Linked DNA regions of Macaca fascicularis. The protein of the gene in region 2 binds, or shares a complex with, the protein of the main gene of each other region. Links are inferred from orthologs where the notes say so. Each region holds a gene or a part of one and is shown on either strand. Other genes may lie near its edges. The genes, in order: B9D2, TCTN1 and TMEM237.

The links.
Region 1: TCTN1 (region 2) and B9D2 share a complex: the UniProt entries of both Homo sapiens proteins name them as parts of the tectonic-like complex. The link is inferred for Macaca fascicularis from reciprocal best matches to the Homo sapiens genes TCTN1 and B9D2.
Region 3: TCTN1 (region 2) and TMEM237 share a complex: the UniProt entries of both Homo sapiens proteins name them as parts of the tectonic-like complex. The link is inferred for Macaca fascicularis from reciprocal best matches to the Homo sapiens genes TCTN1 and TMEM237.

The regions. Positions count from the first base shown.
Region 1 is NC_088393.1:48,495,976-48,499,624, reverse strand, and holds part of B9D2 (B9 domain-containing protein 2), read left to right. Parts: intron 1-149; coding exon 150-275; intron 276-3,166; coding exon 3,167-3,480; 3' UTR 3,481-3,649. UniProt on the Homo sapiens protein: Component of the tectonic-like complex, a complex localized at the transition zone of primary cilia and acting as a barrier that prevents diffusion of transmembrane proteins between the cilia and plasma membranes.
Region 2 is NC_088385.1:117,512,669-117,516,317, reverse strand, and holds part of TCTN1 (tectonic-1), read right to left. Parts: intron 2,637-3,649; coding exon 2,485-2,636; intron 1-2,484. UniProt on the Homo sapiens protein: Component of the tectonic-like complex, a complex localized at the transition zone of primary cilia and acting as a barrier that prevents diffusion of transmembrane proteins between the cilia and plasma membranes.
Region 3 is NC_088386.1:97,454,477-97,458,671, forward strand, and holds the start of TMEM237 (transmembrane protein 237), read right to left. Parts: upstream 2,870-4,195; 5' UTR 2,745-2,869; coding exon 2,703-2,744; intron 2,460-2,702; exon of another isoform or gene 2,081-2,459; intron 2,059-2,080; exon of another isoform or gene 1,992-2,058; coding exon of another isoform or gene 1,974-1,991; intron 287-1,973; coding exon 255-286; intron 1-254. UniProt on the Homo sapiens protein: Component of the transition zone in primary cilia. Required for ciliogenesis.

The DNA.
Region 1 (3,649 bases), on a different chromosome or scaffold from region 2:
CCAGGATTTGAACCCAGATACTTGGTTCCAGAGTCCACGCTTCATAACCCCTACCAGTAGATGCCACAGAGCAACAGTCCTATAGCCACAGTGGCATTCCCTTCCCAGTGGCTGCCTCCCACCCCTCTATGTCCCCGCTGTCACTGCAGGGGCGGCGTGGAAGCTCCTGTCAGGCGTGCGGGAGGGCCAAACGCAGGTGGACACCCCCCAGATAGGGGACATGGCCTACTGGTCCCACCCCATCGATCTGCACTTCGCCACCAAAGGTCTTCAAGGTGGGTACCACACCTGGTCCCGGGGCCAGGCTGAGGGGAGGGGACGAGTAGCCTCTGAGGCCCCTCGGTCTGGGAACACCAAGACCTGTCCCTGCTCCCCATACCACGTGGGTCCCTTTTGCAGCAAGTCTGGCCCTGGAGAGGCTGAGCTAAGACTTTCCCAGGCCTGCTCAATAGGCGATCCCAAGTTTGTAGGATTAGGGCAGAGTCCAGGGTGGAGCGGGAGATGGGAAGGTGGGGGTCAGGGTGGGAGGGAAGGTGGCATTCAAGTAAAGAGACAAACCGAGAGTTTCCAATAAAGAGGAAGCCGGGAGGCAGGGTCTGAGAGAGGCAAGGGCTGTTTCTCCAGGAAGGGGCTCCTCGGCTTGAAAGTAGAGCCACTGCTCAAAGGGGAAATCAGTACTGGGGGAGGAGCGGCATCAGAAAACCTTTTGGTAGGAAATGTGGGTTCCTGAAGATGAGTCGATTCTGAGAAATTGCCTAGGTAAATGTGCCGTATATTTCACCAATATAAAGAATGTTTACCTGGTGCCTGCCCTGTGTCCAGCCTGTGTTGGGTGATGCCAGGGAGACACTGGGGATCAAGGCAGTGCCCCTTAGCCTTCTCCTCACAGAGTTCACCATCCTATGGAGGGGACACGCCTCTCTCCAGACAGTGGCACCTGAGTGGGCAGGACTAAGATAGGCAATTTGGAGAGGCCGTGGGAGCCCACAGGAAGTGCCTGACTCTGTCAGGGAGGTCACAGAGGGCTTCCTGGAGGAGGGGGCTTCTGCGCTTTGCTGTGAAGGGCCAGTGGAAGCTAATAAGGCAGAGGGATAGAAGAAGGTTCTAGGCAGAGGGAGCTACATGTGGAAGACTCAAAGGGGAGAGTGAACCAAGGGTGTCTAGCGCACTGAGGGAGAGCGGGACGGCAGCAGGGAAAGGTAGCAGGGGACAGTTCATGCAGGACCTCGAGTGCCAGGCTGAGGAGCTGAGGCCATCTCCTGAAGGCACTTGGGAGCCAGAGCAGGTGATGGACAAGTGAGATTTCACTTTTTTTTTTTTTTTTTTTTGAGACAGTGTTGCTCTGTTACCCAGGCTGGAATGCAGTGGCAAGATCTCAGCTCACTGCAACCTCCGCCTCCTGGGTTCAAGCAATTCTCCTGCCCCAGCGTCATGAGTAGCTGGGACTACAGCTGTGTTTTACCATACCTGGCTAATTTTTGCCTTTTTTTTTTTTTTTCTTTTAAGTAGAGATGGCATTTCACCATGGTGGTCAGGCTGCTCTCGAACTCCTGACCTCAGGTGATCCGCCTGCCTCGGCCTCCCAAAGTGCTGGGATTATCGGTGTGAGCCACCGCGCCTGGCCGAGATTTCACTCTTAAATAATCTTTCTGTCCTTTAAGCTGGAGCTGGGGAAAGAAAAACTTTCCGGTGCTGTGCGGGTGAGGTGGGCAGCTCTAATCTTTCAGCTCTTGGGGCCTCCGGTTCCCCAGTGGTGGCACCAGCCTTGCTCTCTCTTTTCTCAAGCCCCCATTTTGTCCATTAGGAAATCTTACTGCCTCTACTTTTGAAATACACCCTAAATCCCACTTCTCACCCTTTTCTCACCCAGCATCTTGATCTGTCCAAGTTCATCTCTCACCTGGACTATGACAGTAATCTTTTCTCTGGGGCCCCCTTCCCCAACCCCCGCTAATCTGCACCCCACATGCAGCTGGAACCCTGTGAACACCTAAGGTCCTGTCTCCGCTCTGCTCAGAACCCTCCAGTCGTCCCCATCTCACTCAGGGTAAAAGCCAAAGTCTTAGCATGCATCACAAGGCTCTCCGCAACCTGGCTGGCACCTCCTTCCCTTCTCCTCACCTCATTCTGCTCTAGCCATGCTATCCCCACCAGGCACACTCTGTCGGGGCTCCGGCCATGCCGTCCCCACCAGACACTCCCCTCTCAGGGCCCTGGCACTTGCTGTTCCCTCTGGCTGGGAACACTCTTCCTCTAGATGGCCACATGGCCTACTCCCTTCCTTCCTTTTAGCATTTGCTTAAATGTCACCTTCTTAGTGAAGCTTCCTTGATCCCCTTCTACAGCCATATCCCCACCCTCACCCTACCCAGCTCTGTTTTTCTCCACAGCAATTACCACCATCCGATCTAACCTATAATTTGCTTATTTACTACATTTGTTGTCTAGGATATCAGCTTCACGGGGGCAGGAATTTTTGTCTGCCATCCATGTTCATGTCCGCCGTGTCCCCAGCTAGCTAGAACAGGGCCTGGCACAGGGGAAGGGGTCAGCATGAGATGAGATGAGATGGAGCTGGATCTCCAAGGGTTTTGACTACTAGACTGAGGAGCTGAACTGTGTTCTGAGGACATGGGCAAAGCTATGGAAGGAAAGATGTTTCCAGATGCCAGGTGGAAGGTGGATTAGAGAGGGGCAAGAAAGAAGGCCCTGGGCCCAAAGAGAGCAGGGCAGGAACATGAGGAGGGAAGGCAAGAGGTGACCCTGACAAGACCCACGATGGTTACCTGGGGACTGGAGGAGCAATGGGCTGCCCTGACATGGGGTCATGGAGGAGGATAACACAGAGAGGAAATTCAGCAGAGGTCTGATTAGAAGGGCCTTGAATGTTGAAGAGGTTGGACTTTATAGTGAGGGCACTGGGGAGCTATGGAAGGATCCTTAGCAGGGGAGTAACATGGATTTGGAAAGATCTCTGGCAGTTGTGTGGGGATAGATGAGAAGATGGGAGTCTAGAAAGGAGGCTGGGTTGGAAACCCTGGGACAGAAACCCAGAAAGGAAAGGACTGGGCCTGGGGTCTCCGGTGAGTATCAGGGAGGGGGGAATCAGGAGCAGGAGTCTGGTCACCACCCATCCCTCCTTTCCCCTCTCCCTGCTTTCCTGCAGGCTGGCCCCGGCTCCATTTCCAGGTGTGGTCCCAGGACAGCTTTGGCCGCTGCCAGCTTGCAGGCTATGGATTTTGCCATGTGCCCAGCAGCCCGGGCACACACCAGCTGGCCTGCCCCACCTGGCGGCCCCTGGGCAGTTGGCGAGAGCAGCTGGCACGGGCTTTCGTGGGTGGTGGGCCACAGCTGCTGCATGGGGACGCCATCTACAGTGGGGCCGACCGCTATCGCCTGCACACAGCTGCTGGTGGCACCGTGCACCTGGAGATCAGCCTGCTGCTCCGCAACTTCGACCGCTATGGCGTTGAGTGCTGAGGGACCCTGTCTCCAACGCCACCACCATCCACACCCTGGACACCCAGTGAGGCACAGTGGTCAGGAGCACGGACTCTGGAGACCATCAGAGCTGGACCCCAGCTAAGGACTCCTGTCCTTGCTAGGACCTCTGGGTCCCTCTGGGCCCAGTTTCCCTATCTGTAAATTG
Region 2 (3,649 bases):
TTGTAAACTGCAGCTCTTGGCTGGGTGCGGTGGCTCACGCGTGTAATCCCAGCACTTTGGGAGGCCGAGGTGAGCAGATCACCTGAGGTCAGGAGTTCAAGACCAGCCTGGCCAACATGGTGAAACCCCGTCTCTACAAAAACACAAAAGTTAGCTGAAGACCAGCCTGGCCAACATGGTGAAACCCTGTCTCTACAAAAATACAAAAATTAGCTGATCATGATGGTGGGTGCCTGCAATCCCAGCTACTTGGGAGGCTGAGGTGGGAGAATCGCTTGAACCTGAGAGGCGGAGGTTGCAGTGAGCCGAGATCACACCACTGCACTCCAGCCTGGGCAACAGAGCAAGACTCTGTCTCAAAAAAAAAAAAAAAAAAAAGGCCGCAGCAGCAGCTCTATCACTAGTTCTGACAAGTTACTTTCCCGTGCCTAAGTTTTTCTCATCAGGTAAATGGAGACAATGGTGTATCCTTCCCAGAGGGGTGCATGAAGTAATGCCTGAAAAGCTCTTCACAGTGCCAGAACATGAAAAATGCTCAATGGTAAATTTTATATTGACATGGGAAGATGCACATGACTTACCACTGAAAAAGGAATTTTCTAGAACAACATGGATAGCTATAAATCCCACTTCTGTACAACACCATATATACATTATAATAGACATATTTAAAAATCAGCAAGAATACACACCAATCTTTTCAAAGTGATTTGCAGTATGAATTTTAATGGATACAGGGATCTTTCAACTTTTACTTATATGCCTCTATACTTTGAACTTTTAGAACTATTTCTCCACATCCTCTCCAGCACCTATTGTTTCCCGACTTTTTTCATACTTTCCTTTTAAAAAAAGTTAAGGTTCCAAAAAAGTTAAGGTTCATTCAAAGTTAATATGTGTTGCATTTAAAGATGTACTACTGAATAGACATAAAACAGCACACATCTTCCAAAATCCGTAAAACTAAATACAATTTTGAGAAGATGACCAGGTATCCAACTAATCTACTCCATGGTCTCAGCAACGTGCCTCAAGCATTTTGCTACATCTTTTAAGGTTGAGGAGAACAAAGAACTCTGAAGAGACAAAATACAAGTTTATCATAGAATAAACAACCTTAAATCCTCTATTCAGAATTCAAATACTCAGTTTTGTTTTATTTTTATTATTATACTTTAAGTTCTGGGATACATGTGCAGAACGTGCAGGTTTGTTACATAGATATACACATGCCATGGTGGTTTGCTGCACCCATCAACCCATCATCTACATTAGGTATTTCTCCTAATGCTATCCCCTCCCCAAGCCCCCCACCCCCCAACAGACCCCGGTGTGTGATGTTCCCCTCCCTGTGTCCATGTGTTCTCATTGTTCAACTCCCACTTATGAGTGAGAACATGCGGTGTTTTGTTTTCTGTTCCTGTGTTAGTCTGCTGAGAATGATGGTTTCCAGCTTCATCCATGTCCCTGCAAAGGACATGAACTCATCCTTTTTTATGGCTGTTTAGTATTACATGTTGTATATGTGCCACATTTTCTACATCCAGTCTATCATTGATGGGCATTTGGGTTGGTTCCAAGTCTTTGCTATTGTGAATAGTGCTGCAATAAACATACAAGGGCATGTGTCTTTACAGAATGATTTTTAATCCTTTCAGTACATACTCAGTAATGGAATTGCTTGGTCAAATGGTATTTCTGGTTTGAGATCCTTGAGGAATCGCCACACTGTCTTCCACAATGGTTGAACTAATTTACACTCCCACCAACTGTAAAAGTGTTCCTATTTCTCCACATCCTCTCCAGCACCTATTGTTTCCCGACTTTTTAACAATCGTCATTCTAACTGGCGTGAGATGGTATCTCATTGTGGTTTTGATTTGCATTTCTCTAATGACCAGTGATGAGCTTTTTTTCATAGGTTTGTTGGCCGCATAAATGTCTTCTTTTGAAAAGTGTCTGTTCATATCCTTCACCCACTTTTTGATTGGGTTGTTTTTTCCTTGTAAATTTATTTAAGTTCCTTGTAGATTCTGGATATTAGCCCTTTGTCATATGGGTAGACTGCAAAAATTTTTTCCCATTCTGTAGGTCACCTGTTCACTCTGATGATAGTTTCTTTTGCTGTGCAGAAGCTCTTTAGTTTAATTAGATCCCATTTGTCAATTTTGGCTTTTGTTGCCATTGCTTTTGGTTGTTTTACTCATGAAGTCTTTGCCCATGCCTATGTCCTGAATGGTATTGCCTGGGTTTTCTTCTAGGGTTTGTATGGTTTTAGGTCTTACATTTAAGTCTTTAATCCATCTTCAAATATTCAGTTTTAATTTTCATGATCTTTGATTTGTAGGCATGAACATTAAGTTATTTAGTCTGTAATATCAACTCTGTCTCAGCGAAGACAGTTTTGCTGGTAACCTGAAAATTAACTTACAAGGACAAGACATTTGTGATGGGATGAAAAGAATCAATCAAGTTCAGGCTCACCTTATATTTAGCAGTAGTAGGAATATCCAGTTTGGTTGTGAAGGAAATATCTGATTCAGCATTCAATGTAAAACCATCAGATGTTTTCATCAATGTATCAAAATTATTTTCATCAGGTACTTCTGGATTAATAAAGGATAATGCAGGCTTATCTGTTTTTTTTTAAAAAAAAAAACAGTATTTTAAATCGGTATAAAATATATGTATAGTATGTATGATATATATAAAGGTTTTGGAAACAGTTTTTAATAGCATTAAGGCTGATGTAAAAAACAAATAGTGTCTTGGCTGGGCACATTGGCTCACACCTGTAATCTCAGCACTTTGGGAGGCCAAGGTGGGCGGATCGCCTGAGGTCAGGAGTTTTGAGACCAGCCTGGCCAAATGGTGAAACCTTGTCTCTACTAAAAATACAAAGATTAGCCAGGCATGGTGGTGCACAACTGTAATCCCAGCTACTCAGGAGGCTGAGGCAGGAGAATCACTGAAACCCAGGAGGCAGAGGTTGCAGTGAGCTGAGATGGCGCCACTGTACTCCAGCCTGGGCGACAGAGCAGGACTCCATCTCAAAAAAAAAAAAAAAGTGTCTTTTTCCATATTCACTTCTCCCAGGAATTTTTAAAGCTTATTCAATAAACAGGACCTCCAGACTCAGCCTGCTTCTTCTAATAATGGGGAAGTAATAGTTGATAGCATCTACAAGTGAACAGCACAACAGAAGCCGATAATAATCTGTCTATTTCTCTAGCCCATGGACTGATGAGTCTGCTGTATCAACCTGTAAGGAGAAGCTCTCTCCGGATGCCTGTGGGAATGAAAGAATCCGATTTCTACTCTCACACAGCCACTGTGAAAGTCCTGGAGAAAAATGTGCTGTGTACAGAAGAGAGAGAAGGGAGCAGGCTGGCATGTTCACTGGGCTGGTGTTACAACAGAGAACCTGAGTCACTGGCCAGTTATCACTTCAGACTACAAACCACACAGAGCATCTGTCTGTTCAATCACAAGAGAATAAAACCAAAATCTGTAAAGATATTCTGAAAATATGACAGAGTTTAATTGACAAATAAAAGCATAAATGTGTCTCTGATCTTTGATATCCTGATAACATTTTACATGCACTTGTACTTTGGATCTAGAAATATATTTGAGCTAAATGCTCAGA
Region 3 (4,195 bases), on a different chromosome or scaffold from region 2:
TAAAACAGTTAGAAAGGGAATGGATCCATTATCCTACCATGATGATATTCAGGCTTTTAAATTTAACATTCAATTTTAACTGCTATTCTTATAATTCAAGGATTTTTCACCTTTAAAATTTCAGAAAATCCCTAAATTTTTCAGAAGAGTTTCCAGAATCATTGTAATTTTGCAATGATACTAGTTAATTTTTCTACTGTCTTCGTTTTCCATTTTTAAAGCTCAATAATGAAATTACTGTAAATTATGTTTACCTTGGCACAGGTGGAAGGGCTCGTGGAGGACGCTGTGGGGGAAAAAAAGAAATTTGCTTGTAAGTAAAAGCCTAGAGCATCTTTACTTCATGTATCCCAAACACCATAAAGCTATTCTTTTTTTCCTTTTTTTTTTTTTTTTTTTGAGACAGAGTATTGCTCTGTGGCCCAGGCTAGAGTGCAATGGCACGATCTTGGCTCACTGCAACCTCCATCTACTGGGTTCAAGCAATTCTCCTGCCTCAGCCTCCCAAGCAGCTGGGATTACAGGCACCCACCATCATGCCCGGCTAAGTTTTGGTTTTTTAGCAGAGATGGGTTTTGCGATGTTGGCCAGGCTGGTCTTGAACTCCTGACCTCAGGTAATCCGCCCACCTTGGCCTCCCAAAGTGGTGGGATTACAAGAGTGAACCACTATGCCCGGTGAAACCACTTCTTTCAAAAGTCTGTTGTTCAGACATGACAGAAAAATATAATGGATCGGACCAGGATCTTCAAATCTTTTGATAATCTTGTTCATTAGTGAAACCTGGGAGGTACTGATGAGAAACATGGGCAATTTAAAATTTGTTCTCCCATTCTAAATTTCATATAAAATTATTTCCTTCCTACATTCCTTTCTATCTCTAGGCCAGGCCCTTTTCTAAGCATTAGGAGTACACTAATGAACAAAACGGAGAGAACTCTGCTTTTATGGAACTTACATTCTAGTGGTTATTAGAAACAAGGTTAAATATATATAATATATACTATATATTATATGCAGCATGTGTAACATATATATGCTATATTTAAGACATATATCTTGTATACATACCTTGTGTATATATACACAAACACAAACACACAAAACGTAATGAATGAAGGAGACTGAGTGCTACTTTTGTTAGGGAAAGTTTCTCTGAGATATTTGAGCTGAGACCTGAATGAGAAAGGAGCAACCGGAACAAATGCAAAGATTTTTAGGTTAAATTGGGCCTGGAATATTTCAGGTAAAAGGACAGCAAGGCTGCCGCACAATTGCCAAGGAGGTAGGCAGGAGCCAGATTTAGTTAGGGCCTTGCAGACCAAGGCAAGGAGTTTGGATTTTGTTTTAATTCAATGGGAAACCAATGGAAGTTTTAAACCACATACTAACACAAATTTTTAAAAGGCCACTTGAATATACTGGGAAGAATGCGTTTTAGGGCAGAAAGAATGGTGGGGGGAACCCTTCTAAACGCTCATTTATATGAATAAGAAAAGTGTTTGCAGTCAGAGAGCATTACAGTTGAGAAGTATTTTCAGAATTAGATACTAAGAGAAATGCCTAGAAGCCAATTTAATGTTCCAAGTATCTCATGCTGCTTGCATAAGACATTTATTCAAAAGGGTTAAATTTTAGACATTTTTGTAGTTTGTCCCATTTAGCAATCCATTCGTTCGAACAGTAGATTAACGCAAGTACTACAAGATTAGGACGAGGCAAGCTCCCGTAATACCATCCAGTAGTCAAAATCACAACTGGAAAAGAATGACAATCACGGGAACGCGCTTGTTCTACAGATGCTACGAAACGCGCGCGATCGATCCAAGGACTCAGTTCACGTAACTGATTTCAAAAGTCCCGCAAAAATGACATTCCACCCACCCAGAGACCCAACCTCTACTCCTCAAAAGTAGGACGGCTCAACTGAAGACAAAAATCCTAACAACTAAAAGTAGCTAAGGCTCGCTTACCACAGGATTCTTCCCCATTCTGTGTTTAGCCGGCCTCGGCAGCCGCCGGCCCGCAAGCACAGGGCGCCCCACCCCTCCCGGCTCTGTCGCGCGCGCAGGCGCAATGCGTCATCGGGCAGCGCCGCCGGGTGGGTAAGTTGGGGTGAGAGACGCGCAGGGACCTGGATTGGCCAGTCCAGACTAGCCCTGCCAAAAAAGGGGCCTCTGAGTTGGGGTAATGTGCCCAGGAGCAGAGATTCGGCGACCGTGGCGCTGCAATCGCAGCTTTCCCGTGGTTTCCTAAGTGGTCGCGGTGATTTGTTTGCGGGGAGCGAGGCGTGAGGGAAGACCTTGGTTAAAGGACTCCGCAGGCAAACAACGATCTTTTCTAGGCAGCTACTGCCCTCTCGGAGGGGGAGTCTATGAGAGGCCTGGCTGGAAGCCCCAGCACCCGCCGGGCGCTGGGCCTCAGAGAAGTGAGGCGTCGTCGTGGCAACGCGGGCTCAGGTACCCGCAAACTTCATGCCAGGCCTCTCTCCCCTACTCCAGGAGTTCGGTCCCGGCCTCGCCTGGGTCTCCGTCCCACTCCTGTGAATGCTGGAGGGGCGGACGCGCGCACCCCATGAGCAAGGCTCTCCCTTAGTGATCCCCAGCTCGTTAGCGCCCCCCCCCCCACACACACACCCCCACCCCGCCAAGTGTAGCTTTTACCCGCCACCCCTCGAGGCCGACGCGCCCCTCGCCGCTCACCAGGTGGCCCTCCTCCAGCCGAGCCCCCGAGTCAGCCCTCATGGTGCTCTCCCCGCGGGGCTTCCCCGGCGCAACCGCCGGCGGCCCGAGCCCAGCTCCCCGCGACGCTGCAGCCTGCGGGACGCCGGGGCTTCGTGGCGCCTGGCGTGGCCGCCTCCCCGTGAGCCAGGTCCCCGCCCGCCTCTGCCCTGCCAAGCATTGCTGGGTTTGGGACGAATGTGTTTACTCTCTAGGACCAACGAGTCTGTGCGGGCCTGGGTGTGTGGATGTGTATTAATATAGGCAATTCTCACATTTTCTCCGATTGCTTACCCTTCATCCCACAACTGTGTAAATCAAATTTGGAAAAACTTTTTCTTGAAGAACCTTAAAATCAAATCCGACCTCACATAAATATCATTACAAACTACTTAATTTGCATAGTTTTATTTGGTTAGGTTTTTTTTTTTTTTAAGATAACTTTCACTTTAAGTAACAGAACTACAAATATTTTGAATCATGCATTCTATTTTACAGTTAAGAAAGAGATGGGAAAGATGGAAGAATGATGTGGATATGGAGAAGAGAATGATGCAGAAGATGAACAGATACAGGGACAGGGAAAGCGCCTGGAAATCTCAAATCTGGGGGAAGAAAGAGAAACAGGACTTTGTAATGGCATCCTAATCTTGTTACCAAACAAACGGGGTTTGTTGCCCTATATGCACAGAAGCCAATATTATGATGCTGGTTTTTTGAGAAAAGTTGTTATTGCGAGTCAACTAACAAGGAGACAGGAGTATAGCTCTAATCTGTCTCCCTGTGCTGGCTTTAAGACAGTATTTTTATTAGAAAAGGTTTAGGGAATGGATTCTGGGATTAGTAAATGATTGGTGGAAGGAAAGAAGCCATCTGGAAAATCTTTTGGCGTTCGCGGTTACCTCTTCATGTCCCTTCATGGGTCGCATGTGCAAATTTTGGAGGGAGTCAGTATGAAACATGGGGGAAGACTCGAGCTGTAATGCCAGCAAGCTCATTTTGTACAGACTTCAGGTAGCCATCCGTGTTAGTCCTAACCAATTTCAGCCAGTTTGCTTTATTTTGTTTTTTAATCTCACAATAGAAGAAGTTTAGGCGTTTTAGCAAATTGTTTTTTATCTGCTGTCCTGCACGCTCAAGAATTTCTGTTAGTCCCTGGTTTAACTCTGAGACACGGTTTCAGTCTTGTGATTCTTCTATATATAGGTCTCCTGGACTAATCCATTGCCTTTTCTAATTTAGGCATGCATGTAGATATTGGCTGTAAGGAAAATTCGTGTTTGTCACACCTCTGATGAGAATAATTTTTTCCTTGTAGGCTGATTTGTAAATAGTGAAGGCAGTGCAGTTTTTTGTAGGTTTTGATTTTAGATGTGAAATGTGCATATTAAACCTTTCTTGCTGAATTAAGTAAGCACTTTTGGTAAAAGATGTTTTCTTTTTTTTTTTTTTTTTTTTTTTGAGACGGAGTCTCG